Tamandua tetradactyla: one gene and its partner. The protein of the gene in region 1 purifies or fractionates together with the protein of each later gene. This does not show direct contact. Links are inferred from orthologs where the notes say so. Each region holds a gene or a part of one and is shown on either strand. Other genes may lie near its edges.

Region 1 (7,061 bases):
CATCCATTTATCCACCCATCCATCCATCCATCCATCCATCCATTTATTCACTTCATTTACCCTATTTTGTGCTACTCACTGTATTGGGTGCTGGCAATACAAATGTGAAAAGGCATGGTCGTATCTGTCCTGAAGCCTGGAGACTATTAGGAAACCAAGAAGCAAATAAACGTTAATGCAATGAGATTGGAGGTAAGGCAGGAATTTTGGAGAAGGAGCTCTAAAATTGACTTGGGGACCTAACAAAGGGGAGAAGGCCAACCGGGCAGAGGAAACAGCTAGTATAAAGATATGGACCCTCAAAAGATCATGGCATCTTCCGCAAACCACAAATGGTTTAGTACTGGTGAAGTGTGTGTTGGAATGGGGGTGGGGATGGGGAGCGTTGGCTGGGGACTAAGCGGGTGGGCGCTGGTAAGCAGAGGCCAGCTCTTTAAAAGTCTTGCAAAGGACTGGAGATCTTATCTTGTAGGCACTCTGTATCTTAGTTCCAATCGATTTTCCATTCTGCAGCCAGAGTGATAAAGTATTTTGAAAATGAAATCTGACCGCTGGTCACGCCTGCTTCAGTATCTCACAGCATCAAGTCTCAAGTCTTGAGCAATGTTGAAAAGGCACATGAGCCGCTCTAACTGTTTCAGCCACATGCCACATCCTTCTTCCCATTTTCTCTCCTTGTCCCAGCTATACTGGCTTCCTTGAGTTCTCTCTTACTGATCTTTGCACGTGAAGTCTGCCTAAAACAGTCTCTCCCTCTCAGTTTGGCTACCCTACTGAATACTCTCCTTTCAGCTCTCAGCTTAACCCTACTTCCTCAGCCTTCCCTGATCCTGGACTAGGTCAGGTCCCCTCCTGTGGGCTGCCAAAACCACCAGTAATAGCCTATTATAGTCCCAGAGGGACATCTATACCCTTTAAGCTGCAAACTCCCAGAGGGGTTGTTCTGTTCTCAGTCAAATTGATGCTCAGCAAATGGTGCAGAGAATCATTGAATGCATTGAGCTTTTCATCAGTATACTGGATATTTCCACTTGGATGTCTCCTGGAGTGCTGGACTCCACATTTCCACACTTAGGGCATCATCATCACCTCCTTACCCACTCCCCTGCCGCACCCCGGTATATGGCCCCCACCCCCAGCCCCATCAGCTACTCTTGATTTGTAAATTTGTTTTCTTCTGTCACCCAGGGCCTCCACGAAATAAGTAACTGTCTCTCTTCCCTCTTCCTCTTGGCTCAGCTGCCAAGTCCTTCCCTTTCATTTTTGTTTTACTGGCCACCAATATAGAACAGAGTGTCATGGTGGGGAGAGACATGGGTTTTAGAATAAGACAGGCTCAAATCTTAGGACTGCAATATCTGGGTTTCCTTGGATAAGTTAGTTACCTCTCTGACCCTCAGTTTCCAAATCTGTAAAACAGGGATATTATCCAGGCTGTAGAGGAGCTACAATTTTAGTACAAGCAGATGCTAAATAGATGGTCCACTTTCTACTGTCCCCTCATATTAGACATCTCCTACTCAGAAGTTTTCAGAGCAGGTTGCACATCACCTGACTGTGAAACCTAAGCTGTGCATCTTGGCCTTGCATCTAATTTCTCCCCCAAATCCTGGGCCTATCTGAAATATTGACTGGTTCAGTCATTCTTTCATCCCTGCTTTCAAGTTCCAGTTCCAAGTAATGCTTCTTTCCTCTGCAGTCCTAGATGTAGTTCACTGGTTCTTAGGGCCAACTGCTCTGCCTTGCAGACTAGGCAAGTTTCTTTGGATCACAAACTGCTGAAAGCAGAGGCTCTGTCAGGTTCAACTTTTACTGCCCAGGACCTTGCCCACTGTTGATGACCAATAAATACTTGGTGAAAGAACAAACCTCCCTTATTCCAAAGGGTTTGCTTTCTCTACAGAATCAGATGTTTGGTTAGTCTCATTACAATGCTATTTTGTTGGCTTCCAGAAAGTACATTAACATCAGATGCATTCTGTTCTCTCCTTTAATTGAAAGAGCTTTTGGAACTGAAAAATGAGTTACTTCTCCAAGCCTCGTCTTCTGCCACTCCCCTTAGTCACGTACAGACATCAAACTACTTAGCCTTGCACAGAACGCTTCCTTTTTTCTCATGCCTCAGTTCCCTTGTAGGCACCGTTCTTTTTATGTGGAATGCCTTGCTCCAGCTTCTATGCCTGGCGAACTCCTACTCATCCTCCAAGACTCAATCCAAACATCATCACATCACCTTCTCAGCCAGGGCTTTTCTGTGATGGGCAAAGTAACCCTCCCTCCATCTCTGTAGCATCTTCAACATTTGCCAAATAATTATAACAATAGCTATATGATTGTTTACTTGTCTTACTCCTCCAGACTGTGAATTCCTTGAGGGCTGGGATATTTGTTCATTGTTATACCCTTTTTTCTTAATCTTTAACCAAGTATTCATTATCTTTTAAAAACATATTTATTGAGATATCTTCCCACAGATACAGTCCATACATGGTGTACAATCAATGGTTCCCAGTATCATCACATAGCTGTGTATTCATCAATATGATCATTTTTAGAACATTTGCATCACTCCAGAAAAATTAATAAAAAGAAAAAACTCATATATCCCATACTCCTTACTCCTTTCTCTCATTGACCACCAGTATTTCAATCTACCCAATTTTTTACCCTTTCTCCTCCCCCTATTATTTATTTATTATACTTATTTTTTCTCATCTGCCCATACCCTGGATAAAAGGAGCATCAGACACAAGGTTTTCACAATCACACAGTCATATTGTAAAAGCTATATTGTTATATAATCATCTTCAAGAATCAAGACTAATGGAACACAGTTCAGCAGTTTCAAGTACTTCCCTCCAGCCACTCCAATACACCATAAACTAAAAAGCAATATCTGTATAATGCGAAAGAATAACCTCCAAGATAACTTCTCAACTCGGTTTGAAATCTCTTAGCCACTGAAACTTTATTTTGTTCCACTTCTTTCTTTCCTCTTTTGGTCAAGAAGACTTTCTCAGTTCCATGAGACCAGATCCCAGCTCATCCCTGGGAGTCATGTCTCACTTCACCAGGGAGAATTACACCTCTTGGAGTCATATCCTACTTGGGGAGGAGGGCAGTGAGTTCATTTACCGAATTGGCTTAGAGAGAGACCCACATCTGAGCCACAAAAGAGGTTCTCTGGGGGGAGACTCAGGCATAATTATAAGTAGGCTTAGCTTCTCCTTTGCAGGAATAAGTTTGATTGAAGGCTCAGCCTATTGATTTGACTGTCCCCACTGCTTGCGAGAATGTCAGGAATTCCCTAGATAGGGAAGTTGAATATTTCCTTCTTTCTCCCCACACCTTCAAGGGGACCGTCGTAGGATCTTTTAGACCTAATACATATTAGGAGCATGATTTGATTAATGAACGAACGAATCCGTTATTTCATCTTACAATGCAGCGTTTGTATGGACCGGTTCTCAAACATTTCATGTTACGGTCCTCTATTTAGCGTGCTTCATGTTGGAGAGGTATCCCCTCTTCCCTCATTCCCTTGCTGTGGTGTAAGGAGAAGGGAAAATGACTATGGTTTGGAAAGAGTTACACCTTCGGGTCTGCGGCGTACTTTACTAGCTCTGGCACCGAGAGGGTTACGGCCACCAGGGGGCGGAGCCTTCCCAGTGCCACCTGCTGCGGACCGGCCTGGCGCGTGCGCCTTGGCACCTAGATGGTGTCTACCTTGCGAGGGCCCGGCCTAAAAGGAGCGCTTGCGCTCTGGGCCTTTTCCTCCGGGGGAAGTCTCGCGGAGGCGGGGTGGGGCGGGGCCACGCGGAGATGTTCTCGCGGGACCCCGACGAGGAGCGGAAGCGAGGAGGCTGAGGTGCTTCGGCAACCGGGCGGCGGCGGTGGCGGCGGCAACGGTCACGAAAGCTGGTTCTGACGGCGGCGGACACAGACGCTGCCCTAGGGGAGCAGCAGCAGGGTCGGCGGTCGCTCGCACCGCTGCGGAGGGGCCGGCCCGGCGCGGAGCAGAACAGCTGCGCCACGGTGAGTGCGGGCGGCGGCGTTCGGCGCTGCTCGGGTGCCTCTTCCTCCCGGCCCCGCGGCGGGAGTCGACCCCGGGGGTCGAGCCGAGCCCGCCCCGGGCCGCCGGGCCGGCCGCGGATCTCGGGTCGGGTAGGCGAGGCCTGGGACGAGGAGCGGAGTCTCCGGGGCTCGGGTCTCCACGTTTCCTCTTTTCGGACGCTTCCTTCCTGGGGACTGTCTTCCTTCGCCCGCGGCTCTCAGGCAGAGCCTGGGACCCCGGGGGCCCCTTGGGGTGATTCTCCTTGAAAGTCCACGTTTATCTTGAGGGTTTGCTCTGAAGGGGCTCGGGAGAATCCCGAGAGGCGCTGGGTGCTCATTTTCTGAGTCAGTCTGACTTAGCCCAGGAGGCGGGGGATTCGGGGCAGGCTGCAAATGTGATGCTTCTTCGACGTGCACGGCCACCACGTCACCAAGTGTTGGTGTTCGGGGCCCGAATTTCATGAGGGAATCCTCCAACCTTGTCAGTACCGTGCGTTAGAACGTTTACTCTCGGAGCCGGGAGAGATGCCATTATTTCTGTCGCTGTTTTTTTTGGGGGGGGAGGGAGTTGGGGGGAGCTACTCTGAAAAATTGGGTAATTGGGTGGAATGCCCCAGGAACGATTTCGGCAAGAAACACGGATTTTTCACTTGCAGAGCTCTACGAATATATATCGTAAGCATTGTGAGTCTCGGCTTATGTAGAAAGTTATTCTAGGTTGGTTTAAAGTGCTATAAAAGTACGATTGGCAGAGGAGCTGAAGTTCACTCGAGGTCTAACTTGGTTCTGTGGACGCAGAAAATAGTTTGAAATACACATGAAGAAATTGGCATTTGTCTATTTTGGCTCTCTTGTCCCTCTTTCACTTTTTTCTTCAGTTATTGCTTTCCCTGTCTATCTCTAGGTATTTTCATTTTAGCATAGACACTAAATGCATTATTTGTATAATGCAAGTCATTTGCTTCCCCCCTCCCCTTCCCTTCCCCCCATCTACTTCCCCCCCTCCCTTCCCTTCCCTTCCCTCCCCTTCCCCTCCCCCCCAGTCTATTTCCCCTTCCTCCTTAGTGTCCTGTCTCAAAAGCCTCTTCTGCAGTTTGGTGTAGGCTGTACATTCTCTCCCTCATTTAAAGGTTCCGTTTTCTTTCTTGGGAAGATACCCTCATTCCGGCTTCCATTCCTTAACGTTTAAGCGGTCACTGTGTTCCTTCAGCCAGCCAGAAGGGTTGCTAGAATTCCACGGGAAGCTTAAGTTGTCCCTCTGGGAACTGGGAGGCTCAAAGGATTGAATTCATCCGTAAGTAATCGATACTGCCACTAGGTCACAAATGTAGTTTGCTTGTGTTATTTGTGTTCTGGTGTTTTCTTTGCTTTAAGATAGTGCTTTTGGGCCTGCTTATGCTTTTTTCCCTGTATCATTTATATTTAGGGAGATTGGGTCAATTTGGGGCTTGTATGACTTTAACTTTTAATGGGAGTAACGGTTAATGTTAAAAAAATGAAAATCATTTAAACTTATTATGCAATGGCCTTAAGATGACATGAAAAATTTAAGGGAATAGAACTTATTTAGACCATTGATGAGGTAGTTAAATTATTATTAACCCATTGAAATACTATTTTTTCTCAGTGTCTTTTCCCTACGTTTGTGATAGCATCCTTTTTGAGAGGGTAGAAATAGATAACTTTATTTGCTCTGTTGCCTCTTCCCATAGTCAGAATTTTCCAAATCTCAAGATGAAAGAAATTAGTTCTTGATAATCAGCCTTCTTTCATAATGAAAACAAGCATTTAAATAAATGGTTTTAGGTAGTTTCAGCAAGTGTATTCAGGTTTGGGAGGATTACTAGGATTTGAATACTTCATGGTACTTAGAGATTTTTTCCAGTAATTCTTGTTATCATGTCAGATATTATGCAGCAGCAGGAGAATTGCATTATGTTTGAAGAAATGAAGTAATACAGAATAGAGAGCTACCATAATTTAAAAGAAATTAATAGTTACCTGCTTAAATTAGAAGAACTCTCCAGCATTATTGAATGACCATTTAGATTCTTTTTCTTTCTTTTTTTGTCCAAAATGGCTTTTTTCTAGTTGTGCCAAGTGAATGTGTGTTATTTTCATTTTATACAAAACATTGTAGTTCACTGTCTGGCATGTAAATTTTTAAATCTTAAGATGCCTTTATTGTACAGCGGTAATTCTTAAAGTTTAGTATGTGTAAGAAGCATCTGGGGCTCTTATTTAAAATCAGGTTCTGGGCAAAAGGCCCTTTCATTGCAGAACTCCAGGGCCCCTTACCACTCTGAATCTGTCTGTGAATTTTGGGTAGTTTTGATGCAGATGATCCGTGAACCAAAACTTTTCTTCCAGGATGCAGCTTGCTTATGGTAAAGAATGAGACTGAGCGTGGCTTAAAGTTACTCAACCGAAAGTACAGCTCTTCTATATACAAAGTAAATATTTAGAAGCCTAGTAGAATAAGTGACTGTCTGATGTGATTCATTTTTAAATGTGTAAATATTTGACTATTGTTAGGACTGTGATGTGAAATAATTTAATTTTAAAGTTTATATTTGAAAGAGCTCTTAATTTTTCAGAGTTCTTCTAAGTCTATATATAAATGGAAGATTTAGATTTAATGTGATAACATGTGGACCCCTCTTTGAAAAGGGTCTGATCTTGCAAGTTAGCATCTCTTGAGCACTTTATGCCAGAGACTGTACTTTCTAATCAACAGAATAACTTTCTAAGGTAGGTGCTGTTGTTATCCCCATTTTCCAGCTGAGGATATATTGAGGATTAGGGAATGTAAATTATTTCTCCAGTGTCCCCACCCAGTTACTAAGTGGTGAAGTGACTGTTGAATCCAGGTCTAATTCTAGAGCATCAGTTAGCAAAAGTAATACATGCTTATTGTAAAAACAATGAAATACAATTGAGGTGTATGTATAGTGTAGAAAGTAAAAGTATTCTTTGTTCTTGCTCCACATATGACTATCATTAACTTT
Region 2 (7,951 bases), on another chromosome or scaffold:
ATCAAGGGTTAAGGCAGGGAGGCAGAGACTTGCCGGGGCTGCACAAAGGGAAAATGTACTTCCTGCCCCAGGCAGAGATGCTGTTTTATGCTCAGCAAATTAGAACATTTGTTTAATTAAGACGACACAGATTTTGTTATTCTAAATATTTTTGGAACATGATGCTTAGAAGGGAGCTGTCAAGGCATGGATTTTTTTTTCCCTTTCCTTTGGGATTCTCTTTCTTTCCCTCCAAAAGAAGGGTAGGGCCCAGGCTCAGAGAAATACTATGGCCAACCCCTCCTCTCCTTTTGAAATAAAGATATCAAGCTGGTAAGGGCTGTTTTAAGTACTTTATTGAAGGATTAGCTAGAAGAGGAAGTTAAGAAAGCACAGCCATCCTGGCTTCTAGCAATACCCTATCAGGCAACACAACAATGCTGCATTTTTTTAGTGTGCTTTTCTTCTTTTAAGGAGCTAACAGATCTTTGTTTTGTTGTTTTGGGTTTTTTTTTTTTTTTTTTTTTTGAAGCAAGAGCAGGCAAAAGGCAGGCTGTGATTTACATGCATCCTTCATCCTACAAGAGAGCAGTTGTCCCATCTCTAACCCCTCAGATTAAAAAGTTTAAAAACAAAAAGGGCCTCTTTCATCTACCCTCACAAGCCTTAGGACAAGCATCCGCACAGAATACACCTCTCCAATTGCCCCTCTCCCAGGAATAACTCCCCAAATCTAGCTGGCCAGCCCCAGCTCCAGGTACCAGGACTTGCTGGAGGTGGAGAGTGGGGCTCTTCAGTGTCACTGGCCTGGCAATACCCAGCAGCCACCAGGGACACGGTGACTCTCAAATTACACTGAGCAATCTTGACACTTTTAATTACCTCCCAATTATCCACTAGATGACGCCTCACTTTCCAACACCATATGCTTGCCTCAGTTTGCCAAACCTGCAACATGCTCCTTCCTCACAGCTGCTTTCTCCTCCCTTCACACAGAACTAGTCTCCCTAGGCCTTGGAATTCCTCGAGTCCTTTGTCTATGGCATTCTTGTGATGCTCATCACAGGCTGCCTTTGTGTTCCTGTCATTCTGCCACTATGTCCCCTGGAAGACTGCAAACTCCCAGATGGCAGAGGCCTCCTCCAAGAGGCCTCCAGGATCTCCACTCAGGGGTGAGGGGGGGAGCTGGATCATTTCTCTCAATCTCCATGACTCACAGTACCTTTCTGGGGTCCCTGTCATCTCCACCTCACCTCACTTTAGAGTCATTGACAGATTTGTCTGGGCTCTCCCCTAAATGCCAGAGGGCAGGGGCCAGGTCTTACTCAACCTTGCACATACCCCCACCCCCACCCCCACTCCGTGGCAGAGTTCTTGGCAGAGAAGCCAGTCAAATATTTGCTCAATTACACATCTCTGTACCCCCACCCCACCCATGGCAGCCTTATATATAAATTGACAAATATTAGTGGGGCGATTGTCTAAATAGGCCTTAGAGCAGCTTTCCTCCTCACCAAGAGGTTTTCAGGCCGGCTCAGAAATGGCCATAGTGTTATCCCAAAAGGAACTAAGCTTCCTTCCCCTTCAACAGTTACTCTAAAATCCTGCTGAGAGGGCTCGGTGAACCGAGAAGCGTCTGGGGCCCTAAAATCAGCCGTCCTCCGGACCTGGGACTTCCCAGGAACCTTCTCCTTCACACCGGCTGGGTGGGGCGCCGGCAGCAGTCCTGGCTCTCACCCCACCACCACCACCACTACCACCTTCAAGGCAGCAGGCGAGCTTCAGCCCTGGAAGTCACTACGTTTCAGTGTGAACAATGGGCATCGTGAAGGGAACTGGGGTGCTCTGGTCCTACCCGGGGCCTTGGAGTGGCCCCAGGACGGGGATGGGATGAGGACTCCAGCACAGGGAGTGGGAGGAGGGGTTCAAAACCCTGGATCCGGCCCAAGCAGACAAGATGCGATAACCCAAACCTGGACCTAAAGGAACAGGATGCCGCTTCTAGCCGCATGGCCCGGGCGGGGCGGCCGCGGGTGCGGAGGAATCAGGTGCACGCTTAGGCCGGCCCGACGGCTGCGTGCATTCCGAGGTTTCCTTCCTCTCCCCGGCAATAGCAGTCAAAGGTTGGGGGGGGTGGGTGTTCTTTCCTGCGCCGCGGCCGCGTCCCTGCCGGGTCCCCCTTCCCCACGCACCCCTCCGTACCTCTCCTCCGCCCTCCTCCAGGGCCCGACCCTTCGCAGCAGGGCGAATGAGGAAGTCTGCAGCCCAGGGCGGAAACCGAGCCGAGCGCAATGTCTGCGGCGGGATTGTCCCATTCTGACTCAGGAGGCCGCCCTGACAGCTGCCAAACGGTCTCCTCCCGCCCGTTACCTCCGTCCCCAAAACGCATGGAAACTTCCAAAGGAGCCCCTGCCCGGAGCCCTGACTGCTCGAGTCCCCCACAGCACCTCCACCCGCCCGGCTGGGTCCAAGGGGCAACGGCTCCCCGGAAGAGGTTAAAAAAGTTCTACCAAGTTGGGCACTGGGCGAGGGGAGAGCGGGGCGCGTGCCCCCGGCGGTCGGACGAGGTCGGGGTCCCCAAGTGCCGGGGCGGGGGGGACGTGCCCGGCAGCGGGAGGGAGGGAACCGTGGCCCGGGAGCGCGCGGCACCGAAGACTTCCTCCGCTCCCGGAGGCCTCGCTCCCAGGGGCGCCGTCCCCTAGCACCCGCGCAGGGGTCCCGCAGTCCCTCCGGAGAGGATGCGCTGCCCGGTCCGGGGTCGCCGGCATTCGCGCCCGCCCGCGCCGGTCGCGGGCCACGCCGGGGCCGACAACCACAGTTCGGCCCGCGCGCCCCTGACGCCGCGCGCCCCATCGCCGCCGCCCCCGCCCGCCGGCCCAGGGCGGGACCCGCCGGTGGGGCTCGCTCACCTGGACCTGGAGGAGCCCCGGGGAACAGGCGATGCTTCTCCCGAGGGAGCGTTCTCGAGCGCTCGGGTGGCGGCGGGATGGGGCGAACGCGCGAGGCGGGAGCGGCAGCAGGTCAGCCTCGCCGAGCCTTCCGTGCCCTGCCCAGGAACCGCGGTGATCTGCGCGCCTCACCGCACCCAGCTCGGATCCTCGCCGCCCCCCCTGCCCCGCCCTCTCAGTCGCCGGTCCATTCCCAGTCCGAAGCCGGCTAGTGAGCGGAGCAGGGAGGAAAGGCCCCGCCCCTAAGCTGTCTCGCCCACTCCTGTATGCGCCGGGTCTTGATGGAAGGACATCTTGACCTGTGGAAAGTGGGGTGGGCGGAGCCCCTGGATCAGAAGGGTGGGGACTGGTCCTCCCCATCCGCCCCCAGCTCCACCCGCTCCACCTTCCCCCGCGCTTCCTAGGCGGGAGCCCCGCCCTCCAAGGGCGGGTCCAACGGACAGCCAGGTTCGAGGAGGAGGATTGACGCAGTGAGCGTCCAATCAGGAGGAGGCGGCTCCGGGCGCGGACGGCTCCGGAACCCGGCTTTGGTGCATTGCCTGCGCTGGGGCAGGCCCGGCGGGAGCGGACAGGGGAGGCTGGCGTAGCTGGCGCCCGGCCCCGCGGGCTGTTTTTTCCCTGTCCTATGTCATCCTACCAGAAGAACAGATATTAAGTACCATATATGGAAAAAGTGCTATTTTACAAAATTATTATGGCCTGTGGGAGCGGGCGTGGACTCAGTCCCGGATTCCGTTGTGGGCATCCGGAGTTCGATTCCTGACCCTGGCTATTTAGAGTAAAGCACGCTGCTTTGCTTCTTGGAGTCTCCAGACATTTGCTCAGTCCCTCTGCCTGGAATGCCTTTCCACTCCTCTGTTCGCTTACAAAATGTTTTCTTGGCTCTTTTGGGTAAGCGAATCACTTTTCACCAAAGATGATAACTATTTATTATTTTTTCTATTTTTTAATTTCTAAATTTATATACACTTAGCTTTTAGTCTACTTAGAATTTATTTTGGTTCTAGAGTGAAGAAATCCGACGTGATTTTTGTGATAGTTGTCCAAACACCATTTTCTCTACTGATTTCAGGTACCACCTTCATCATATGCTGAACTTGTATATACTTGGATGTTTCTGAGTTTTGTCTGTTAATCTTCCCTGTGCCAGCTCATTGCAGGTTTATAATACATTTTATATCTGTGATGGTTTGAAACTACTATGTGCCCTCAGAAAAGCCATATTTTAATCCTGATCCAATCTTGTGGTGCCAGACCTATTGTTTAGGGTGGGAAACTTGGGTTTACTTCCATGGAAATGTGACACACCCATTCAAGGTGGGTCTTGATTAGTTTACTAGAGTCCTTTAAAAAGAGAAACATTTTGGAGAAACCTCAGATGCAGATGCTGGGAGAACAGTTGCTTCAGAGCTGACAGAGATGCACACACCACGCGCTTTCACATAAGATGCTAAGCAAGCCAGAACCCAGAGTTGTGTCCTGGAGGAGCTAAGTGAAAGCCCACAGATGCGTAGACAGGAAACCACTGGCATCAGAAGCTGACCTTCCCATGTGACAGACATTGGCCTTTCTTGAGTCAAGGTATCTTTGCTTGGATGTGTTAGTTTAGACATTTTTATGGCCTGGCTTAGAACTAAATGTGTAACTTATTAAATTCTCTTATTAAAACCCATTCCATTTCTGGTATATTTTGGCAGAATTAACAAACTAATACAATATCTGAGAGAGCAGATTTCTCCTCATTACTGTTTGCTGTGGAATAGCCTTGCTCTTATGACTAACTGTTCTCCCAAATGAAATTCAGGAAAAAAAAATTATGTTCTAAAGAAAAAAAAGAGTTTGCAACTCTGTGACAAAGACTTATTATCAATAATAGGAACTCTTTCCAGTCAATAAGAAAACCCAAAAAAACTCCAAAATAAAAATGGCCAAAAACGGGCAATCCAAAATGAAGAAATATAAATGGCTAATAATTTTTAAAATTAAGTATCAGAAAACGGAACAAAAACAACATGGATGCCATTTTCACTTACCAAATTAAAAAAAAGAAGAAAAATGTCCAGTTAGCCAAGTTGATAAACACAGTGGAAAAGTAAATTGACCAAAGAATTCTGAGAATTCATCTTAAGACAAAAATGGAGACATGCACAGATATTTGTGTATTAGAGCTCTCTAAAGAAACAGAACCAGCAGGAGATATCTGTAAAATATGAGATTTTAAAGGTGTCTCACACAACCATGGAAATGGAAGCGCCCAAAATCCATAGGGCAAGCTGTGACACTGGCAGCTCCGAAGAAGTCTTGACGAACTCCACAGGAGAGGCTTGTTGACTGAATAAACAGTGAAAATTCTCTCTCCTTCCTTTAAAGTCTTCAACTGATAGGTCCAAATCCAGGTGATTTGATTAACTTATTTGGGAGGAGGCACTCTCTTAGTTGATAGTAAGCTGCAATCAACTGACTGCTGATTTAATAAACCAGCCTTCTGGCTTATCAACCCGCCATCAGATATCCTTGCAGCAACCATTAGGCCAGTGCTTGCTTGACCAGACAACTGGGCATCATCAGGAGGCCGAGTTGACACAAGAATCTAACCATCACAGTGTGTTAAAAAGTTCTTCTTTGCAACATTGTTTATAGTCTCTAAATGTTATAAATGAATTAATATAGTAAGAGATTGATTACATTTTGATACATCTATATGTTTAAAAATACCACAAAAGGGCATTTAAATTGTTATGTAAATTTGTATATATTGGTTTAAAATATACTGAGGAAGAATAAACTATAGAATGCTACTGTAGTGGAATTTCATTTATTTCTATGCAATTTTGTATGTGTTTGCATATGTATGTGTTTTTCTCAGAGAAAGAATTAAGTTTAAAAGGCATTAATTTCATCAAAGTGTAAATAGGGATTATGTATTGATAGAGGGACTGTGATTGATTTTTTCTTATCTGTATTTTTAAACATATGTATCACTCACATAATTAAGAAAAGATTAAAAAGACTCATTTCGATATCCCCTCTCCCCAGATGTCTTCCCTGGCCCTCCAGGCCAGGTTGGGTGCCTCTCTGTGATCCCACATTACAAGCATTTACCTTCCTTCTAGCACTTACACACTGGATTTTAAACTTTAAACCATTTACTTGCTCTTTCCCTACCCAGGCTGGAAGCTACCTGAGGACAGACAGGGGCTGTGCCTTATTTGTCTTGCATAACATGGTCCTCAATGCATGCCTGAGCAGGTCTCTGAGCCTCTGTTTTCTTATCCATAAAATCAGTGTAATCACCAGGACTTGACTCACCCCTAGGACTGCTGAAAGAAGCATAGGGGACCATGACTGCTAATCAGTACACATTATTGATAATAATATTTCCATTTACCTCAAGCCTCCAGCCTCCTAGCCCCACTCTTTCCTTGTAACTGAGGTCATTAAGAAGATAGAAGGTCTGCCACACCTTGATGCTTTCCTGAATAAGGAAGCCCTCCTCCTTGCCATCCAGCCTAACCCCTCCTCCAACCTCTAAAAACCTGTACCTTTGATCCTTTCCACTCCCAGAATATTTTAGAAAAATATTTCGTCTGTTTTGTCTGAATGTTATATTTGATGCAGAAAGTAATAAAAAGAAAGAAAATTGAAACCACATATAGCCTTATGTAGCAACTATTAACAAACCTTGTTACTTCCTTCCAATGCACACACACACACACACACACACACACATCTGTAAGTGTGCGCACATATGTACAAGTATATATGCATATATTCTATATATTTTAAATAAAATTGGAGGATGCAAACATATATATGACCACCTGATTTATTACAAAGTTAGCACATTGCAAATAAGTAAGGAATGGATAATTTTTTTAGTAAATGGTGCTGGATCAACTACATATCCATGGGGGTAAAATTAATCTCGACCCCCTGCATTACACTATACATGAAAATAATTTAGGATGGATCAGAGACCTAAATATGAAAAATAAACAATAAACCTTCTGAAAATAACTGTTCAAGAATATGTTCATGACCTTGAAGTAGGCAACAATTTCTTAAACATAACAAAAAAAGTATTAACTATGAGACAAGATTGTCAACATGAACTTCATTAAAATGAAGAACTCATCAAAAGACACAAGTAAAAGACTGAAAAGTCAGATCACAAACTGGAAGAAAATGTCTACAATATATAAAGGTAACAAAGGATGGGACCCAGAATTTATCAAGAATGTCTACAATAAGAAAAAATGATAATTTTTAAAAATGAACAGAACATTTGAATGAGCAGCACATCAAAAAAAAAGGGCATCCAAATGGCCAGCATATGAAAAAGTACTCAACATGATTAGTCATGGCAGAATTGCTAATTAAAACCACAATGAGATACCACTATTCCCTCATCAGAATGACTAAAATTAAAATGCCAAGTGTTGGCAAGGACTGGGAGCAACTGGGACTCTCAGACACTGTGGTGGCATAAATTGGTACAGCCATTTTGGAAAAAGTGTTTGGTTGTATCTACTAGAGTTGAATATACAGCATATACTAGGACCCAAGAATTCCACTCTTGAGTCTGTACTCAACAGAGACAAGTACTGAACCCACCAAAGGCAGGTACAAAAATGGACAGAGTCTCTTAAAATAACCAAAAACTAGGGGGGAATGCCCATCAACAGCAGAATGGATATACTGAGTATGTTCATACAATGAAATACTACACAGCAATTAAAATGTACACACTAAAAAGAAAGGGAAAAAAGTACATACTACTGTTACATGTGAGGCCAGAGATGACCCAAATTTCCATCACTTGAATGAATGTGGTCTATCCTTACAATGGAATATTATTAAGTAATAAAAAGTGAAGTACTGATACATGCTACAACACGGGTGAATCTTGAGAACATTACACCAAGTGAAAGAAGCCAGACGCAATGCCCGGATATTATATGATTCCATGTAAATAAAATGTCCAGAACAGGGAAATCTATAGGGACGAAAAATAAGCTAGTGGG

What was found. Proteins that work in one complex are often made in the same cells at the same time.
Region 2: the proteins of GRB2 (region 1) and MYH9 purify together in Homo sapiens (affinity purification with mass spectrometry; 3 studies listed by BioGRID and IntAct, with this or other methods). This does not show direct contact. The link is inferred for Tamandua tetradactyla from reciprocal best matches to the Homo sapiens genes GRB2 and MYH9.

What each region holds. Positions count from the first base shown.
Region 1 is NC_135332.1:15,811,138-15,818,198, reverse strand, and holds the start of GRB2 (growth factor receptor-bound protein 2), read left to right. Parts: upstream 1-3,822; 5' UTR 3,823-4,035; intron 4,036-4,603; exon of another isoform or gene 4,604-4,737; intron 4,738-5,150; exon of another isoform or gene 5,151-5,347; intron 5,348-7,061. UniProt on the Homo sapiens protein: Non-enzymatic adapter protein that plays a pivotal role in precisely regulated signaling cascades from cell surface receptors to cellular responses, including signaling transduction and gene expression.
Region 2 is NC_135333.1:28,689,391-28,697,341, forward strand, and holds the start of MYH9 (myosin-9), read right to left. Parts: upstream 3,077-7,951; 5' UTR 2,889-3,076; intron 2,201-2,888; exon of another isoform or gene 2,182-2,200; intron 1-2,181. UniProt on the Homo sapiens protein: Cellular myosin that appears to play a role in cytokinesis, cell shape, and specialized functions such as secretion and capping. Required for cortical actin clearance prior to oocyte exocytosis. Promotes cell motility in conjunction with S100A4.